Arabidopsis thaliana: one gene and its partners. The protein of the gene in region 2 interacts with the protein of the main gene of each other region in a pairwise test. Each region holds a gene or a part of one and is shown on either strand. Other genes may lie near its edges. The genes, in order: GCR1, PTR2, AT5G17850 and AT3G21690.

What was found.
Region 1: the proteins of PTR2 (region 2) and GCR1 interact in a protein complementation assay, tested with the Arabidopsis thaliana proteins (one large-scale study listed by BioGRID).
Region 3: the proteins of PTR2 (region 2) and AT5G17850 interact in a protein complementation assay, tested with the Arabidopsis thaliana proteins (one large-scale study listed by BioGRID).
Region 4: the proteins of PTR2 (region 2) and AT3G21690 interact in a protein complementation assay, tested with the Arabidopsis thaliana proteins (one large-scale study listed by BioGRID).

The regions. Positions count from the first base shown.
Region 1 is NC_003070.9:17,827,432-17,832,012, reverse strand, and holds GCR1 (G-protein-coupled receptor 1), read left to right. Parts: upstream 1-1,592; 5' UTR 1,593-1,798; coding exon 1,799-1,981; intron 1,982-2,175; coding exon 2,176-2,207; intron 2,208-2,291; coding exon 2,292-2,461; intron 2,462-2,590; coding exon 2,591-2,685; intron 2,686-2,833; coding exon 2,834-2,935; intron 2,936-3,037; coding exon 3,038-3,094; intron 3,095-3,180; coding exon 3,181-3,324; intron 3,325-3,415; coding exon 3,416-3,486; intron 3,487-3,572; coding exon 3,573-3,699; 3' UTR 3,700-3,774; exon of another isoform or gene 3,775-3,858; 3' UTR 3,859-4,060; downstream 4,061-4,581. UniProt on the Arabidopsis thaliana protein: Together with GPA1, may regulate the cell cycle via a signaling cascade that uses phosphatidylinositol-specific phospholipase C (PI-PLC) as an effector and inositol 1,4,5-trisphosphate(IP(3)) as a second messenger.
Region 2 is NC_003071.7:485,706-490,461, reverse strand, and holds PTR2 (peptide transporter 2), read right to left. Parts: upstream 3,065-4,756; 5' UTR 2,921-3,064; coding exon 2,864-2,920; intron 2,609-2,863; coding exon 2,291-2,608; intron 2,213-2,290; coding exon 1,656-2,212; intron 1,581-1,655; coding exon 755-1,580; 3' UTR 521-754; downstream 1-520. Other genes in the region: AT2G02050 (NADH-ubiquinone oxidoreductase B18 subunit), read right to left, coding at 127-438. UniProt on the Arabidopsis thaliana protein: Peptide transporter. Mediates the transport of di- and tripeptides. High affinity, low capacity transporter. Can also transport histidine.
Region 3 is NC_003076.8:5,897,011-5,901,710, reverse strand, and holds AT5G17850 (Sodium/calcium exchanger family protein), read right to left. Parts: upstream 2,860-4,700; 5' UTR 2,693-2,859; intron 2,666-2,692; exon of another isoform or gene 2,473-2,665; 5' UTR 2,459-2,472; coding exon 779-2,458; 3' UTR 554-778; downstream 1-553. Other genes in the region: AT5G17847 (uncharacterized protein), read right to left, coding at 2,924-3,052; AT5G17840 (DnaJ/Hsp40 cysteine-rich domain superfamily protein), read left to right, coding at 4,656-4,700. UniProt on the Arabidopsis thaliana protein: Membrane-localized H(+)-dependent K(+) and Na(+) transporter.
Region 4 is NC_003074.8:7,636,804-7,642,928, reverse strand, and holds AT3G21690 (MATE efflux family protein), read right to left. Parts: upstream 4,346-6,125; 5' UTR 4,180-4,345; coding exon 3,859-4,179; intron 3,735-3,858; coding exon 3,103-3,734; intron 2,136-3,102; coding exon 2,079-2,135; intron 1,857-2,078; coding exon 1,618-1,856; intron 1,524-1,617; coding exon 1,405-1,523; intron 1,312-1,404; coding exon 1,225-1,311; intron 1,134-1,224; coding exon 1,068-1,133; 3' UTR 540-1,067; downstream 1-539.

The DNA of each region.
Region 1 (4,581 bases), on a different chromosome or scaffold from region 2:
TCGTAATTGCTGTACTAATTAAATTTATGTAATTTTGTGTGGATTGACAAAATTCGTCTGTTTGGTTTTTGTACGTTTGTTGCCATTTAGTAGATGATATGTCATTGGGTAAATTAGCACACGAAAATCATTTAATATATATAATAAACAGTCATTATAACATGTATACGTAAATTATATTACGAATTGTGATAAGTCTAGCCACGGGGTTTACGACCAAAAGCAATACATAAATAATAATCAGGGAGATCCATGAACTTATATATACAAAGAGTGAGGACACGAGAAGCAATATGTGTCAATGTGTGGAAGAATGTCTCCATCATTAACCTAATTATATTATATTTTTATGTTTTATAATTTTTATGGTCTTCTCCGCTTGGTAGTTTTAGCCTTACAGCCATTAACTATCGTAAATTAGGGTACTAATACTTGTTATTTTTTTTGGTAAAAGGTGAAATTTTATACTATTTTTAGTTTGTGATAGAATTACAGAGAAAACTAGAAACAGATTAAAGCAATCTACGTAAATATAAAAACAACATTACAACTCAAGATGCAAAGGATCACTACTAAGTGGTCAAAGCCAAATTGCAAAAAGAAACACCGATTCCGAACCCGCGAAGCTCAGAAAATTGTGTGGTTGCCACAAAACCGAAGAACTGGAATCATCATCTTAATTGCCACGAGCAAAACTATCCAAGATCCGTCCACAAAACTTCAAGATAGAAGTCTACAACTTCTCTGAGAACTAACGCAAAAACGTAAAAGCAATCGTGGACTTCTATACTAACTCAACAAGATAGCAATGCCACTTAGACTTATTCGCCGCCTCTATTCAACATTCTGACAACCTAGCCAATGCTCGTTATTTGCTTATTATTAGTTCTTACGTACGTGTTTTATATTCGTTTTGAAAAACAAATAATTGTCGTTAATAATCAGCTAATAAATAGTATAAATTTATGACTTGCAAGTACAAGCTTGTTATATATATTACTTGCTTATATATAACTTATTTTTATTTGAATGTTTTGTGCTTAGGATGCTTGAAACTTTGAATGTTTTGTAATTTCTATTGTATATGAGATTTTTTTTCGATTCAAGTTGCAATTATTTTACAAGTAACAAGCAATATCAAATTATTTAGCAAGTAATAAGCCAAATCAAGTTATTTAGCAAATAATCATATTTTATATGTTATAACAAGTCCAAAATTCATTTACTTGAAAGGGGCAAAACGGGTCAGAAGGCCATGCCTAGGTATTTTTGTGCTCGGTGATTGATAGTATAGTCGTGTAGATAATTTATTTAAAAACAATAGTATACATAATTTGTTATAATATTATATATATATATATATATATATATATTTATTTTTATATAGAGTATACTATAAATAAGATTAATTATAAAATTAAATAGTATAATATTTACATGTGCATAACATAAGTTATTACCTAGTATAATTTAAATATTCATACATGTATAAAATTAAAATTTTCCAAAAATATGTGATAACTTGACATGTAAATAACATCATATAAATGTTTTTAATAATTAATATAGCATATATGAATTAATGCTTAACAAAATCATTGGGCTGGGCCTAAAGAAGTGCACTACGAGGAGTCCGGTTCAAAAGACACGACTTGACCCGACCGATCCGACCCGGGTAAGAGGTTAGCCCACCACGCAACGTCCGTCGGGGAAGATACCACGCGACGGAAACGACGAACACGAACAGCGGAAATCGTCAATTCAATCTCTCAGATCAGTTTTGGAATCACATATAACAATGTCGGCGGTTCTCACAGCCGGCGGAGGCTTAACTGCCGGGGATCGCAGCATTATTACGGCGATTAACACCGGCGCTTCGAGTCTCTCATTCGTCGGCTCAGCCTTCATCGTTCTCTGCTACTGCCTCTTCAAAGAACTTCGAAAATTCTCTTTCAAGCTCGTCTTCTACCTTGCTCTCTCTGTAAGTTTCCCGTTGTTGCCTTTCGCTGATTGTGCTAGATCTAGGATTATGTACTGTTTTGCTTCCTTCTTCTTCGATTATTCTCACTGTGAATTGTTACATCGCTAAGACGTTAAGTTCCATTGCGTTCTGAGATGAGTAGTGAGGGTTCGAGCTCTATTGCTGACTAATGGCAATGTTTTTAATTGTTGCAGGATATGCTTTGCAGTTTCTTCCTAATCGTTGGGTATGTTTATCTACTACTATTGGTTCTGGTGAATCTTGTTGAGATTATTTTGATAAGATGATTGTTACATCTTGATCACTGTAGGGATCCTTCAAAGGGGTTCATTTGTTACGCACAAGGCTACACTACTCATTTCTTCTGCGTTGCTTCGTTCTTGTGGACAACTACAATTGCTTTCACTCTTCATCGTACTGTTGTCAAGCATAAAACTGATGTGGAGGATTTGGAAGCAATGTTTCATTTGTATGTATGGGGTATGTAAAATGATACTCGTGGGTTTCGGTTCTCAATTGTTACTATATCCACCTAGGGTTAAGGATTAGAATGTGTTAGTATCTTCTTTGGTGATTTAGTAAGACTCTGATTTTAGTTACTTTTCTCAGGGACTTCCTTGGTTGTGACTGTCATACGTTCTTTTGGTAACAACCACTCACATTTGGGGCCATGGTGCTGGACGCAAACTGGTCTTAAGGGAAAGGCAAGTGAGAATGCTTAGTTGAGCATAAAGATTTCAATGCCTATCAAAAGGCATTTGAACTTTTTTGTTGCAACGCTGGGCCAGATGAATGTAGACTAGTATTTTATTCTTCGTTACTGGAACTCATATCACCTCTTGAATTTTGCAGGCTGTTCATTTTTTAACTTTCTACGCTCCTCTTTGGGGAGCCATTCTTTACAATGGGTTTACTTACTTCCAAGTGATACGGATGCTAAGAAATGCTAGACGTGTATGTAACTCTCTCATCTCTAATAACATTGTCTTCTGAAAGTAGTTCACAAACGTTACTGATACACTTGGCTGTGTGCTGAAATGGCAATGTTAATTTCAGATGGCAGTTGGAATGTCAGACCGAGTCGATCAATTTGATAATAGAGCAGAGTTAAAGGTCTGTCTTTATTGCCAATACTAGTTCTGTATCATGTGGCTGGATTTCATCATTAAAACCTCACTGCTTGTTTCCTGAAACCACAGGTGTTGAACAGATGGGGATACTATCCACTCATTCTAATAGGATCATGGGCATTCGGCACTATTAACCGTATCCATGATTTCATCGAGCCAGGGCATAAGATCTTCTGGCTCTCAGTTCTTGACGTTGGGACAGCTGCACTAATGGTAGCAAACCTATCAAATAAATAAGTTATAAAATTCGCCATAGATCATCTTTGCTCTTCCCGAGTCGATGTTCTGAATGTTGTATTTTCAGGGCTTGTTCAATTCAATAGCCTATGGTTTCAACAGCTCAGTGCGTCGAGCAATCCATGAGAGACTGGAGCTGTAAGTCACCACCGATCTCTTTGGTTTGCTATATTATTCCCAATAATCAATGAAGCTTGATTTTTATGAAACCCTTGGTCTGCTAGATTCTTGCCAGAACGGCTATATCGATGGCTTCCAAGCAATTTCAGACCAAAAAACCATCTGATTCTACATCAGCAACAACAACAGCGAAGCGAAATGGTATCACTCAAGACCGAGGACCAGCAATGACACTAACTTTCAACTAATACATTGGACCGATAACAAGAAGGCGGCGATGATAATAGCGTTTGGATGGAGAGATTGGTAAGTTTCCTCTATGATTGTTTTGTCTTTAATTTCCGTTTACATGGATCAGTAAGTGTGTTTTGTTTTGTGTTTCTCTCTTAGATATGGTGAAGGGGGGTGCACAACAGGTTGTCAATGTATATGAAACATTCTTTGGGAACACGAACTTAACAATTTATTTATTTTTGTATGAACTTTTTTATTGTGAGGTCTTCTGATCTTGATTTGAAATTAACGAACTTGGAGTTCTTGGACGACAATGTTGAAGAGTTTTGTTACGTAAGTCATATGAAAATACTATCACTTAAACCGGCGCCGTTTCTAAAGAGGAATTACAAAATTCGTATCAATCTTCAAAACCCTAGAGATCACCGCGATTTCTTTCTCCCCAAGACTGAACGACTCTGTCTTCAAACTCGGGTGGGGATTGAGATGGGTTTGTCTTTTCGTCTAACAGTGATCCAACAGTGGAGAAAGAAGAAAAGAAGACGAAGCCAAGCACTACTGGAGATTCCAACGGATGTGGTGACAGAGATTCTTACGAGATTCCCTGTTAAAACCCTAATGGATTCAAGTGCGTCTCAAAGCTCTGGTCATCTATCATACGCTCTCCATAGTCCATACTTTACCAGTCGTTTCATTAAGGTCCCATCTCAACGAATTTACATTTGTGTATCACATTTCGAGGACTACCGTCCCTCTAAAATCCTATCATTAGCTCCATCCGCTACTAGTCCATCTTCCTCCTTTGTTGTTGACCATCCGAGATAGGGGAGGCAAGATCTTACAAAAACTTAGTGGCTTCATCTGCTACACATTTTTGAA
Region 2 (4,756 bases):
CACGAAGATCTGATCATGTAGCAGAAGAAACAAACCAATTCAATCAAATCAACCAAAACACAAGAAATCGAAAAACTATAGACTAACCGGAATCTGGAATCGGCAAATTGGAGAAGGAATCGAATCCTAAGCATTAGCAGTTTTAGGGATAAGAGGAACAGCAGCGTTTCCTTGTAGTTTATTCTGTTTAGCCAAAGCTTCTTCTTCACGGATCTTCTTCATCGCAAGCATTCTCTCCATAACAAGCTCGTATTCACACTTCTCATAAACGTGACGCTCGTCTTCACATTTCCATGGAAGGTAAAACTCAGCCTGACGACATTTGTTGAGCGGAATCAAGAGATGAGCGCACATATCTCTAGATCCAAGTGCTATTTTAGCTGCAGACATCTCTTCTTGCGTTGCGATCATCTTCTTCGATGAACCTGGAACCTCCATTTTCGCGATCCCCAAACCTCACAACGATACTCTCTTCTTCTTCTTCGATTTTATTGACCCGGAACATTCTTCTTCTCCGGGTCATATTTGTGCCCGTTTGATATGGGCCAAAAGCCCATTTGATTTACTAAGCCTATGGACAATTTCTCTCAATTTAGTATTCGAACCCTGAATTGTTTATAATATTGCAAATGCGACTTAAACTTTTGAAATTGAAAGGAAAAGTACACAGCAATGTTGTTATTGATACAGAGACAGTTACAGTTGAAAGAAACAAACTTTTGTATGTAATGAAAGTAGATAGATAACAGCATTACTACGACGAAGCTTTCTTTTGCTTATACCTAGCAGCAGAGAAGAAGTAAACCGCCATGTTCACAAGGCTAAGACCAGCCAAGAGCCAGAAGAAGTAATCGAGATGACCTGAATTGAGATTATCCGAAATCCAACCTTCTTGCCCATTTCTTGTTGTAAAATAAGTCACGAGCGTGAGGATCAACGAGCTCAAGTAGTTACCAAGTGCATTGGTCAAAAGAGCCAAGGCACTGCACAAGCTTCTCATTGCATCTGGAGATTGGTCGTAGAAGAACTCGAGCTGACCGATGAAGTAGAATACTTCGGCTGCACCGAGAATGAAGTACTGTGGAATCTGCCACAAGACGGATATGGGAACTGGGGCTCCTGACTCGACTAATCCAAGATCGTTGGCCATATGGAGACGGATGATTTCGACGATAGCTGCAGCTGCCATACAGAGAACAGAGACAAACAGACCAATTCCCATTCTTTGTATCTCAGTGAATCCTTTGTCTACTCCTGTGAACTTTCTTGCTAAGGGAACGATGAACCGGTCGTAGAGCGGCACCCAGATGATGACGCTTGCTGTGTCGAATGTCCCGAGTGCTGCAGGAGGAAGCTGGAATGATCCAATTTTGCAGTTCATGGCTCGGCCTTGTTGAACAAACATTGTGGACATTTGTGCGTATACAGCTGAGAAAATGATACCAGAAGCCCAGATTGGGAACATTCGGATCAGAATCTTGAGTTCTTCGACTTGCGTAACCGTGCATAGTCTCCACGAGTTGGAATAATCTCCGGATTTCGATTCTTCTTCTGAGATAACAGCGGCTTTGTCAAGATACCTGCATCATACCAGAATAACTTGTTAAACCAAGTAAAGCTATACATTACTGGAAAGCAATGAAGCGGATATTTACTGGCAATCATCGGTATGCTCGATTTTTCTACTTCCAGCAATAGCAGAGTTCTTGTCTTGAGTTTCATACAGAAGTGTGGCGTCTTCAGGGACTTTGACAGACGATTTCCGGAACGAAGCAACCACGACTTGGGAAATCCGAGTTATAGGGCTTCCTCCAGGTTTCTGAAACCTATAAAGAGGTGTGCCAAAGAAGAAACTTGCAATGGCTAGTCCCATGAACACTGTTGGTATCCCAAACCCTAAACCCCACCCGCGATTCTCTTGAATCCAAACTAGAAGACTAGATGACACAAGTGCTCCAATATTGATGGAGAAGTAAAACCAGTTAAAGAACGAAGCTTTTCTAACTCGTTCCCGAGAGTCCGTGTCATCAAACTGATCGGCACCGAAGGATGAGACACACGGTTTGATACCTCCAGTTCCAAGAGCGATCAGGTAAAGCCCACCAAAGAACATCGCATACTGAGCTGGCGTTGCAGATGGACAAAAGTCACCAATACATTCCGCTGGCTTCAATGCCGGAACTGAAGCTGAAAGAGTTAACGCAGACATCCCCTAAACAAATACAAAAACCTATCAGTAATCAGGAGCAAACAAACCAAACCAAACATTACACAGAGAAGCAATGCTTACGATGAAATAAATCCCGGAGAAACAAGCGATGGTCCAGTAACGTCCCCAGTAAGCATCAGCCAGAACAGCTCCAATGAGAGGAGTGAGATAACAAGTCCCTTGCCATGTGGTAACGTTTGTAGCAGCAGAAACATTTCCTTGGTGAAGCTTAGTGGTGAGGTAAGTGATTAAATTCCCAGCAATACCATAGTAAGCTAGCCTCTCACAACATTCATTACCAAGAATAAAAGGACAAGCTTTCCAGTTTCCTGTTTTCTCCTTCAATGGTGGGTTTCCATTAAAGTCCACTGAACCATCTTCAGCATACAATTTCACTTCCTACTTAAAACAAATTCACAAAACATTTTTGATTAGCTAACTAAACTATAACTGTATCAAAGCTCGAAACTTTGATCTATATCTACTTGCAAAATTCAAACATTGGAATCATCAATTAGATAAAACAGTGATTGCCCAGAAAAGATCTCAATAAACCCAGAAAGAAAATGCATAAGATCAATCTAAAGTCAAGATTTTGGAATTGAGTAAAATCAAAATTCGCTAACCTAAGTGATTAATTGAAATTGAACAAACCTGTAAAATTAAACCTTCTTCGATGAGAGGTCTTGCTTCTTCTTCGATGGAACCCATCGTTTTCGTTTTTTGAGCTGAACCAATTTAGATTCCTTACGTTGAAGCTACCTATCTAACGATACTCTATTATTTATCGGAGACGTGACGGCTTTTTATTTTACTTTTCCCGGCGACTTATTGGAAAATAAAAATCAAAACTTTGATTATAATAAGAGAAGTAATTAACAAAACTCATCTTTTTACGAATTTTTTGTTATTATTATGACGTAAAGATAGAATTGTGGATCAACCTGTTACCTGTCCATGTCTCAAGTTGTTGATATCACTCTAATCAAGAATTTTTTTTTTACATATATGTGTTTCTAAAACAATACATCATCAATACGTTGTTGATATCAGTAAATCGTTTGGGGACTCAGATAACAAACAGTAATTATCAGCCAATCTCTCTATAAACCCTGAAAGAACAAGAATGCTCAATAATATGTAGCTCAAGTCAGCAAAATTAGGAGAAATGGAAATTAAAACTCGATAACCTAGATCATTAATTGTACGTTGAAACTATATAAACTCTCCTATTATTTTTTGGTAAATGTGACAAATTTTTTATATTCCTTTTCCCGGCGAAATTTGTTTTTATTGGACTATAGACATCGGCTTTGTTTACATATTTTTCTAAGGTCTGTGCTTAAACTTCAAATGGGAATTATATATATATATATATATTTTCTTTGTGATTCACATAGAAATTAATTTGTGTTTTTATCACAAAATCATTTCATAACTATATGTGGCCAACTTTGATTGATTCCACAACTTGATTCATAGGGTGCATAGAGAATGTGGTACGACCATCTATAGATTCATCATCCATCATCTCTTGTAAGAACAAAATCATTTGTTTCTATATCAAATAAGGTGTTATAAAAACTAAAAAAAAAAAGATTCTCCACAACTTGAGTCCATAGAGAGTGTGGTACTACGACCATCTATAGATTCATCATCCATCATCCCTTGTAAAAACAAACTCTTTTGTTTTTATATAAGATAAGGTGTTATAAAAACTAAAAAAAAAAAATATTCTCCACAACCCAAGAGAAAATTCGGTAAAACAAACAGCTTTGAGAAAATGAAAAAGAACACAAATGTATGGTGCAAAGAAGAAACTAGTCTCAAGAGAGAAAATATTGATTTTATCTAATACTCTACAAAAACCCAAAACTCTTGAAAACATAACATAATTTTCTCAAATGTATTGTGCAAATAAGAAACTAGTAGAAAATAAATGATAAGATTGATTAGCTATTGACTAAAGAAAACCTTTAATTCTATACACAAATTTTTTCGAGAAAATAATTTACCTTTCGTTTAACGAAAGATTAGAATTTTTTTTTACATTTAGCGATACTTCGCTGGGATAGAAGAAGTGATGCTAGTATCTTATCCCATCTCTTAAGTCCGTAATTTTTTATCCCCTCGAGTAGAAGAACAAGTAGAAGATTATCTTCCTGCGATTTCATTCGTCGTATATTAAAAAGGGTATATAATTTTCTCGAAAAGTATTTGAGAAATATAAAAATAAGGTGTAGATGAATTGAAAGAGAGATGATAGATGGTTTAGGGCAAACAAGTGAAGTAGAGTCTAGATTATATAGGTTTGTGTAAGTATTTGTTTTTTACGTGAGAAATTATTTTAATGTGGGCTTTAATATTATTAGTAAGTAATGTGTGGCTTTATTCTTTTGCTCATTTGGATGATTAAATTAGGCAAAATTTTCAAACTCATTTGACTAAACATAATTGGACAATTTGAATGGAGATGGATTAGTCAAAATAACAAATGACAAATATGCTCTAATTCTTCAAACGATCATTTTGTTTATAAAATTTTAT
Region 3 (4,700 bases), on a different chromosome or scaffold from region 2:
AGAAAATGGCCAAAAATTGGAGTTATCCTATTTCCAAGGAAACAATTTGCAGACAAGAAAAATGTGCCAAATTATTATGCACACGAGTCATGATGAGATTAGGAATAAAAAACACATCTTATCTTGAGTTCATTGCAAATTGGCAAAAAGAGACAAGCGTTGTCGCTTCAAACAACTCCCACAACACTGGGAACTAAATACACAATTGAAAATAAACAAATATATTGGCAGAAGAAAATACAATTAACGTAGAGATTTTTGAAAACAAAAAAAATATTATCTTAGATAATTTATCTAATATGAGATGGTTTTTTTTTACATTATCCTTATACTGCATGGAGTATAATATGTATGTGTTTACTTGAATGTATGAGCAGAGATTGTTGACTAGTCGAGAATCTGACACCTATCAAAAAACCAGCTACTCAATTTGAACTCCATTACTCTAAAAATTATTCTAAGCTATGCATGTTGTGCGATATCATTGAAACTAGTAATCTTCAGATCAATATTGGTGGTTTCGAACCTTATTTTAAACGACTTTTTGATTTTTCTTGTTTCAACTTGAATTAGAATGATTTCAAATCATACATTTACAATAGATTTGTATATTTCCTCCACGAAACCGAAATTGTATCATATTATGAAAAATCTACGTTACAATCTACATAAAGTTATACATATATATATATCTATACATTACAAAATCGATTCCTTTTACTTGAAGAAGATTATACAAACCCATGTTATGTAAAACGACTATGAGTTGAAATCAAAGTTAGTGAGCATCTCCAACGGTTTGCATAATTCTTAGAGACAATGAAGCCAAGTAAATAACCAAAAGCCCTATGCCCATCACACCACCAAGCCTCATACGGTTACTAAACAGAACCAAGAACGACCATACCAGTCCTGCGACCAGAAATCCAAGACTCTCCAACAAACGAGGATCTGTCTTAATCACAATGCTCAACGGATAAGCCTCCCATGCACATCCCACAAGCGATATCCCGAGAGCAAACAATGTATTGAAGATCGGACCGGCGTAACATCCCGATACAGCCACTTGAGCTCCTTCGTTCCCATCGTGTAGCGCCATTGTCAAGTTGGTTATTAGATCTCCAATTGAATTACCCCAAGCGAGGACCGTTAAGCCTAAGATCGAAGGGCTTACACCGAAAATGTATCCTAGTGAGGTCAAAAGCGCAACTAGCTCTTGTGCTGATATGTAACTCCATGTCATGCTCATTACAAACCCTCCTGCTAACCAAGGCAACAACCATTTCTTTGGTGGGGTTAATTTCTTCGTCGTGGCTCCTGCAATGAAACCAAGAGCTATACCGATCAAACACCCGATGAGATAAACAACCCCCGCCTCAAAACTCGTCGGTTTCCGCTTCCAGTTCCATAAAAACGACAACAGAACCGGGGCAAATGTGACCGAGGCAACAGCTAATGGTTTAGACCATTTGTCTTCACTCACTACAGGAATTGTTAATATCCTTGGCAAGTTGAGAGGCAGAGTGATAGCCCAAATGACCAATCTTTTCCAGTAATAATATCTCTGGTGATCATCATCATCATCAACAATCTGATGCTCTCCATTAACAACACCATCTTCAATTTCCTCAAGACCGTCTCTCTGCAAGATTGGTTCACTAAGACTACCACGCTTATGGATTGACTCAAGATCAGATTCAGCACCTTGATCTCCACCAAATCTCCAAGAGAGAACCACAAAGGCAACATAAACAGCATACAATGAACAAAACCCAAGAGCACCCCAGAAATTGATCTTTCCATAGACCAAAATCAAAGCCAAAGAACCAATAGCAGCACAGAAGAAGCAAATGTCTCTTATAAACGCAGCTCTCTCAATCCTCACACGTCTCTTATGCAACGAAATGCTAATGATCCCAACAACAACACAGGTAACAAAACCAGAACCTCCCACAACAGTGTTGAGACCAACATCATAAGTACCTTTAGATTCTCCCATGAAAGAGACCAAACTTGCAAACAAATCAGGAGCACCATTACCAAGCGACAAAAGAGTAACACCAGCAACAGTTGGTGACAAATTAAGCAGCTTTGAGAGACTTTCAAGAGATGAACAAAAGTACTCAGAGGCCGTATGACCCAATAGATAGAACAAGAGAAGCAACCAGAGGAAGAGAAGAAACTGACCCAAAATTGGGAAACCTTCGAAATTACAGTAGAGAAAAGAGAGGTAATCGAAGAAACCTTGACTAGCACATGGATCAATCGATTTCAGGTAAGCACACTTTGATTTGTAGTCATGAAAGTGCTTCAGGGCACTACAATCATGCTCTGATTTAGGTCTTAGAGCACTTGAATCAACAGGATTCGTGAAGAAACCCAACAGAAGACAAGAGATAACGAGAAGGAATGTGACTGTCAAGTAACCAAAACGGTTTGAAGAAAATGAAAATCCCATCAATCAGCTAAGACCTGGAAACTCAACAAAAAACGAAAAGAAACAAATCAGAACAGAGCAAACGAAGAAACAGATAAAGTTTGGTTTTTTATCAGAGAGTCAAATTGAAAAAGAAGATATTTGGGTTTATTGTTGAGAATCTATAAATGGGTTTACTCCATAAGAACAGATCATGAAGAAAACAGATTAGATAAACACGAACTATACGCGGAAAGAGAAAGATAAAGCACTGACCTTTTTTAATATCTGGAAGATGAAAAAGCAAAAAAGGGATCGAATTTCGAAACGAAGCTTTTAAAGGAGACGAAGCGAAGAAAACACCCACAAACACACAAAACAAACACTTTAACAAGACCTGACGAAGACAAACGTCAGAGACAAAAAAAAACAGAGGATTGAGGAATACTATTTTTTTATATAAAGAATCTGAAAAAAGTTTGTCACTTTGTCATTGCCGTTTTGGGGTTAGGGTGATTTGGGTTTTGGAAATGGCTTATGTGTCGGCTTCACGATGAACTGTGCGTCATTTTCTCTTTCCATTACGTATGCGAAGAATAGGAAGACGAAGGAGGGAGGGTTAGCGAAAGGATACATAAATTTAGAAGCTTTTTCCACAAATTAAATATTACTATAAGGAGCTGACCCAGCAATATTTAGTATTTAGTGCTGATTCCTTAAGCCACTAACTATGGAAAAAATAATATAAATATTCCGGTTTGGTTCGTAATCAGTTACCGGTTTAAGGTTAACTTACATATAAGAAACTAATTTAAAGGATGTGGTCAGTACTGAATTGATGTTTGTTTATTCCAACAAGTAAAACTCTAATCTATAACAGTCATTTTAATCTAATTTTATTAGTTGTGAAATAGTTATTGGTAATTGAGTATAAACCACAACCACCGCCTTTATTCTGTTACTTCCAGTTTACACAAGGCAGAATAACTTGAAATGTAATTAAGAGAAAATTAATTCAATAATTTGGCTTTCTATTAGCTCAAAATTACTTCCTTTATATAAGCTGAAACATCTTAATTCGAACGTATTTTAAGAAATAAGTATACATGGATATTGAATTTCCAAATAGATTGAGACAGCCACGATCATAAAGAGAAAGTTCCCAAAAAGAAAAGACAGAAAGAAACAAGTAGAAGAAGCTAATATAAAAGGAAAGTATAGTGTGACAAGATAAAGTTAATAATGAGGAAACTAATAGTATACTCCACACAGTCACACAAAGATAATTGTATAATGAGGTCGACTGAATAAAGAAAAGAAAAAAAAGTGTGGTCGACTTTTACTACTAAAACGAGAAAGTCGGTCGAAGGATTAGGATTTAGGACACGATTTTTGTAAAAATATTTAGGGAATTTTTCAAATAAAATCGAACAAAATATAAAGATAAGAGGACTTATTACGAGTGTGAATTGCAAATATTAAAAAAGTACCGAGTCATTTAGAGCAACGCGGTCTTCAAACGCGTTTTGTTTTTCTTTACTTTTGTTTACATCTTTGCATTTATTTTGTGATGTTATTCATTGCTTGAGAGCTAAGTGAGTAGAAGCGATCCATTAACACAAGAATCAGCACGTACGTGTACGTCCCCTTCGACGGTGATATTTGTTTTTACCTTTTCTAGTTGATATAAAAATCTTCGTTTACTCATGGAGATCAGATACTATCTAACATCAAACCAACAAATCCTTTAATCTATATATTGTTAGCTATCATTTAAACTTATGCCTTAACATATAAAGTTGTAGACTAGTGTCTGATTGTTTTTTTAAAAACACTCTTTTTAATTGGAGCTGAAATATCTTAAAAGTGAACACTTTTAGCCGACGTCCACCTTTAGACAAGAGGCTGACTCCAAAAAGATGTCCCAAAAATAATTGATGATGGGCATTCATTATGATAAAGTTGGCCCATAATCTTTTTTATGGATCCATTTGTCCAATTCAAATTTATTGATTACTGTCACGTCCCATCCTTTTTGATGTTTATGGGCTCGGTTTAGATACCCGGATATCTTACCGGTATAGTCCGGTTATGGGACCTCAACGAAAACTGAGACATATGAACGGCGATCCCTCCAAAGTTATCACCTACCTTCTCCAATCTCTTTTCGATTTCGAATTTTCCATCTTTCGATTCTCAGTAGTTTCGTCTCAATTTCATAATTCCATTGTAGCCGATAATGAATTCCGCTTTAGATTTTGCTTTTCCGGCTACATTTCCGGTT
Region 4 (6,125 bases), on a different chromosome or scaffold from region 2:
AATAAGACTTAAATGTGTAGACAGAAAATGGCACAGATACAACGTGACGGCCATTATTGGCTTGGCCAAGTATTTACTATTTATATCCTTTTTCGTTGTATGGTTTATAATGAGAATAATGAAAAGAAAAAGTATCAAGAATTTTTCTTCTTTACTTTTTTTTTTTTCTTTTTTTTGAATAAAATGTAAAATTTATTCGAAAAAACGTGTTTACATCAAGTGTAACGGAAATTTAATCGCTCCTTTCTCTAACTTTATGGAACAAATATAACATCTCGTCTAGTAGTTTATAAGAATATTTAGAAGTTCTTACAATCGTTTTCGTTATTTTTTATTAAACACGAATGAAAATAGTGCTTATATTAAAATGTCATAGATGCGTTAAGTAGGCGATTATTTTACTTTTGTTTACATCAAAATTTTGCCACTAACTAAAGCAAAGTTAGAGCAAGATAATACACATTTATAACTATGTCAGATATCGAATCATCAACTCCAAAATTTCTCCTTTGACAAAAAAAAACTCCAAATTTTCTCTGTGCCTCAAGTCCTCAACGCAAATGAGCTGGACTGATTTTATGATGTGAAAACTTTGTTTTATGTATAGTAATTTCAGTTTACTTAGGCCCATATATTAGGCCCATAGATCACCCTGCCCATTTTGTTGGAAGTCCAGTTCTTATTTTCCTTCACATTCTCAACAACAACAAAAATGCATCATACTGAAAGAGAGAAACTTTAATTGCATTCCAGTCTAACAAAATATCATTAAACTAAAGAAAAACTCAGTAACAAAAATAACTAAGATCTATCCAATCAAAGACATGCATATATATATAAATCAATAAAAAATAACGCAGTAACTATTATAATCTTGGCATACAAAAATACATAACCTACCTCTAACATTTTAAACAAGAACACAAAAAACTTAAAATTGAGTTGTAGAAGTTTAAAAGGTTGATCCATATCCTTTTTTACCAGCTCACATGTTACTTTGAGCATTTGCATCGGTTTACCGATGAATCTAATCGGTTCCTTGGATACCAAACTTTCATCAACCTGCATCATTCAGGAACAACTTCTTGTTTCTTGTTGCTCCATTTGTCCAACCTTTTGGAAGCTTCTTCCACCTGAAACAAATTAAAATAACTATCAAATCAATGAAAATATTTACGTAAACACTTAGCGCCTACAGGGCAGCTTAAAGTTTAGCAAACTTACTTCTTTTGTCCAATCTGTTCTAAACGTGACCCACGCCAAAATAAACGTTTGTATAACCGTACCACCGATCATCCCCGTCCATATACCCTATAGCATCATTAGCCTTAAATTTGTTATTCTAATATTCAATACAAGAATAATGGTAACTAATTAAAATGAAAGTTAAGAAAACTATCTTGCCTTGGCACCGAAGTTAAAGTAAAACCCAAAGAGAGCCCCAAGAGGAATTCCAATAATGTAGTAACATCCAACGTTAACCTTCGCCACAAACGTTTGCCAACCGCATCCAACCGCCACACCTATAATAAAATTTTCCCAATTGTTCAAAAAAAAAAAAAAAATCTTCGCTTATTCGGTTTGCGAAATTGCGGTGTATCGATCAGAAGGGTTTACCAGAGAGGACAGGTTGGATTCCGTTAAGGACAAGTGTTACGGCAAGAAGCGGACAGAGATCAGAAACAGCGTCCGAGACTTCTTTACCCTCAGTGAAAGCATAGCTTAAAACATCGCGGCACGCTAAAATAACAATGGCTAGGATCACACAAGTGATTAACGAATAAATGTTAACGATGATCACAGAAAAAGCTGCTGATTTAGGGTTCCCAGCTCCAAGTTCATTGCTCACTCTTACACTGTATCAACATCATAACACAATTTTTGTCACACTTCATCAGATTTAATAGGAGAAAAAGAGCTTATGGTTCAGTATGATTTAGCATTATTTAAGTGTGTAAAATGTAAGAATCCACATATTTTTATGGGGGTAGGTAAATTGGATAGAGACGTTTTCTATTTTATATGATTTAAATTTAGTGAAAACGATCATGCAAGTGGTGAGTTGGGACAAAACAGACCTTATCGCTGCATTGAATCCAACAGATATCATGAACACCCACCCTGAAATCGTCATGCTGTAACACAAAAACAAATAATTTAATATCGTACACTATCAAAAGCTAGTATGAAACCATTGTTGCTTGTAATGTTTTTACAACATTTTAAAATTGTAACTTTTGACTTGACATGAAAATCAAAGATATCATATTATAAAGATGGGAATTCCATACTGATTTGGGGCAACTACCTAAATTTGGTGGCTGCTTCTGTTTGGTAACAGAGGAAAGAGAACTTTTGGAAAACCTAAAAAATCTAGTACTTACGACTCAGATAAATCTTAAACTAATTAGTACTAGAAGAATATTGTATAATATCTTCGACAAAATAAAGAAGTAGATGCAGATTGGACGAAGAAATAATGTTTTATTCGATTCCATATGAGATAGTTTCATATGGTCATACAGAAATTGTTAAAGTTAAATTCTACTGCTTAAGAAGAAGACAAAAACAAATTCCAAAGAAAACCAAAACGAGAAGACTGAAAAGAAGAAATGTGATGTGACCATAGATTGTCTGTAGCGGAAGAAGTGTCAAATTTGTTCGCCATTAACTTAACTTTCATATCTAGTATCTACAACCAAACTTTGCTTTGTACTCCCTACAAAAAGTTTTGTTCTATGCTTTTCATATCGAATAATAATAATACTAAAAGTTTTGTCGAATCATTACTAGAAAAATTCATGGAAAAGTCTATAATCATACATATTCACGTGGAGTTTCAGGATATATAAAAAAGTGTTTTCTTGTAGAAACCAATAACTACTACCTATGATAAAACATAAATAAAATATCATGTGGAAGACAAATTAGACTAGAATAGGTAAAATGGAAACCAAAGAGGCAAAAACACTAGAATAGATAAACTTAAATTATTATTTTTTATGGTCAATAGGTGAAATTAATTTAGTAAACGAAATTAACTAGTAAAAATAAATTTTAAAGGAAATAATTAAATTGAGTTTGACTAAAAATAGGACTTACCAAATAGAGAGTGAATCAAGAGCAAGTTCAGGATTCTCGAGAAGTCCGGCAAGAAGAACGAGAATCTGAAAATACCAAGTCTCAAGGCAAAGCATCACGGCAGAAGCGGCGGAGAGTTTAAAGAAACTCCACAAACCCGAGAAAGCTTGAACACTAAAACCTCTCCACGTCTCACGACACCTCTCACTCGTCACAATATAAACAAACTGAGCCACGACTATAATCCACCACGACAAGCTAAGCACAAGCGACGCACCAAGAAGTCCCATACCAAGCTTGTAAACCGCGAGCCAACTTAAAAGAAGGTGAACAAAGAGCGTAGCCGTTGAGATATAAGCACTTGGAGCTACTATGCTTTGTGATTGGAGAAATTTTTGTATTGGAAAGTTCGCTGCGTAGGCAAAGATTTGAGGGATAAGACCGTAGACGAAGAGCGATGCGGCCGAAGCGATTGCGGGAGATTCACCGAGGAAGAGAAGGATTGGTTCGGAGAAAACGTAGATTAAAGTAAGGAGGAGGCCGGTGAGTGTTAGTAATACGGTTGATCTTTGGAGATAAACTCCAAGCATCTCGTATTTTCTACCACCGTACGCTTGACCACATAACGTCTCCACTGCACTCCCCATGCCTAGCTATCATCGAAAAAAACTCGAATTTTAAAGATGTGAAAAAAAACATAGCATATAGACGAAAATGATATAAAACGTAACATTCATACAAAAAATATATACAAGAAGAGGAGTTTTTGGTTGTTACCATGAGACCGTAAGCGAAGACTTGAATACCGGTGTTACCAAGAGAAGCGGCGGCGAGTTCGAGGTTACCGAGATGGCCGGAGAAGATTTGAGTAGACATGGACATGAGGTAGTTAATCATGTAGACGATGACGGCTGGTGCAGCGAGGTTAAAGAGAAGCTTTGATTCGATTATGGTGGCTTTACGTAGGCGGAGAAACAGAGGAGTTTCTACGTCGGAGAGGACAGTTTCTAGCTCGCCGTTGGTTGACTCCGGCGGAGATGGAGATGGTTGAGGATGGAGAAGCGGTTGGTGTACGCCGTCGTTTGGAGACGAGTCCATGATGATGATGGAGATTTGCTCTCTCTCTCTCTCTTTTTTTTTTTTTTGGTTTGTTGTTTTGTTTGTGGTGTTATCGCTTGAGGATGTGTGTGGCTAGTGTTGTGTATAAGTGTATATAGGTCCTATCGAGGGTGGCGAGTGACGGCTAATGATAGTTACAAATTTGTATGTTAATCATTGTATTATTTCTACCGAGAGAGTCCACGTCTCTCATTAAAAACACCAAAGGTTATTAATTATTAGAATTCTTTCTTTCGTTTTTAGTCAAAGATTGTATAACATTTCTATGGATATCGTAATTAACTTTACAAGATATCTATATGTAAAATGCAAATAGTTTTCTTTACAATATTTTGAGTTATTTCGATGACATATATTGGTTAATTAGTATTCATAATTTTAAAGAATAAATAACGTACAATCACATTTTAAAAATGTGATTAATTTCAAATTCAATGTTATTTAATTTATATGATGTCAAAAAAGAATTGTTATCTAATTTATATACCACACATTTGCTCATGGATATAGGTTTCAATACTATACACAAATCTGTTTATTTATTATATACTAATTTGCTTAAATTTTTTGAACAGAAAAAGACAAATAATAATGTAAAACTGTTTTGATACTTCAGACAAAATGAAAATATCTTTGAAACATGAAAAATTTGTTCCATGAAAAAGGAAACTGTTTATTCTTATCCTTATAAGGAAAATAATCTTTCAAGAAAGCAAATGATTAATCAAATTGGGGAAAAAAAAATGATATTGAGTGGGATCTTCAAATACAACAAAACACCGTATGCCAAAAACTCATTTTGTACATGGCCAAAACAAAATTATGGTTTACCGGGCCAGTTACACCCACACCCCCTTCTTAAATTGTTGGTCCGCCCACACAAGGTATAGTAGTCGTAAAAGCAAGCGTACTAGTATAAAAATGATATTTATGGATACGATTCCAAATAAAATTGTTCACCAATGGTTATATGGTCTACTGCGAGTACACGTTTCTCTCTTTCATTCATTCTTTCTCAGTCATTAATTCCAACCCAATGATATAGCTACTACGTTTAATATTCATATTAAATGAAAATTAAAGTAACATCAATGATTATAAATGCTTGCCAGTTGCCCCCATGGTTTAATTCCTAAGAATGGGCTATCGTATGCAATAAAAAGAAAGGTAAACAACTAAACACCAATGGTTATATCGGTTGTTTTGAAAAATCTTCACGAGCACGATTTTAGGAAGATAAAAAAATTTGAGTGTTCGAATAATTGCCACTTTCACATTCAATGTTTTTCTGCGTATTAGCATGCAGGCATATACTTCATGGGTCATCATGGCAGCTTAGCTCCTTTTGCCGTTAATAGATATCAACTCTATTGGAGATATGTGTAATCCGATTAGGATTAGTACAATATCTTTGATGATAGAGTTTCTAACCTATATTTTAGGGATTTATGTTTATCTCTTGATAGAGATCATTGTGTATAAATACCATAGTTAATGAATCAATAAAAGCAAGTCAGTTCAATACCTTATTCTACACCCAACTATGACATCTTCTCTAGTCAATAGAATAGTAGAGATCAAAACCAAGCTTGCAAAAGTTTAATTCGCTTAAAAATTAGATATAATCTTTAGAAATCGAATGTATCAGATTCGAGTCATATAGCAAAGACAATAGCAGTGTAAATGATAGACCCAAACTTGGTACTACAGCTTTTAATGAAGTTATTTGGCTCAAATAAACCCAACCAAAAAAGTAGCTACGTTTTATCAGTAATAGCTGCAACTTGTATCTATATTCTGTGCAATATAAATGAGAAAAACGCGAGGTTACTTTTTCCTTTCAAAAGTTTAGCTATTTGCAAAACGTACGAAAAAGCCTTAAACGGAAAAGACAAATTAGAACGAGTTTATAAAGTTTAAAAAGC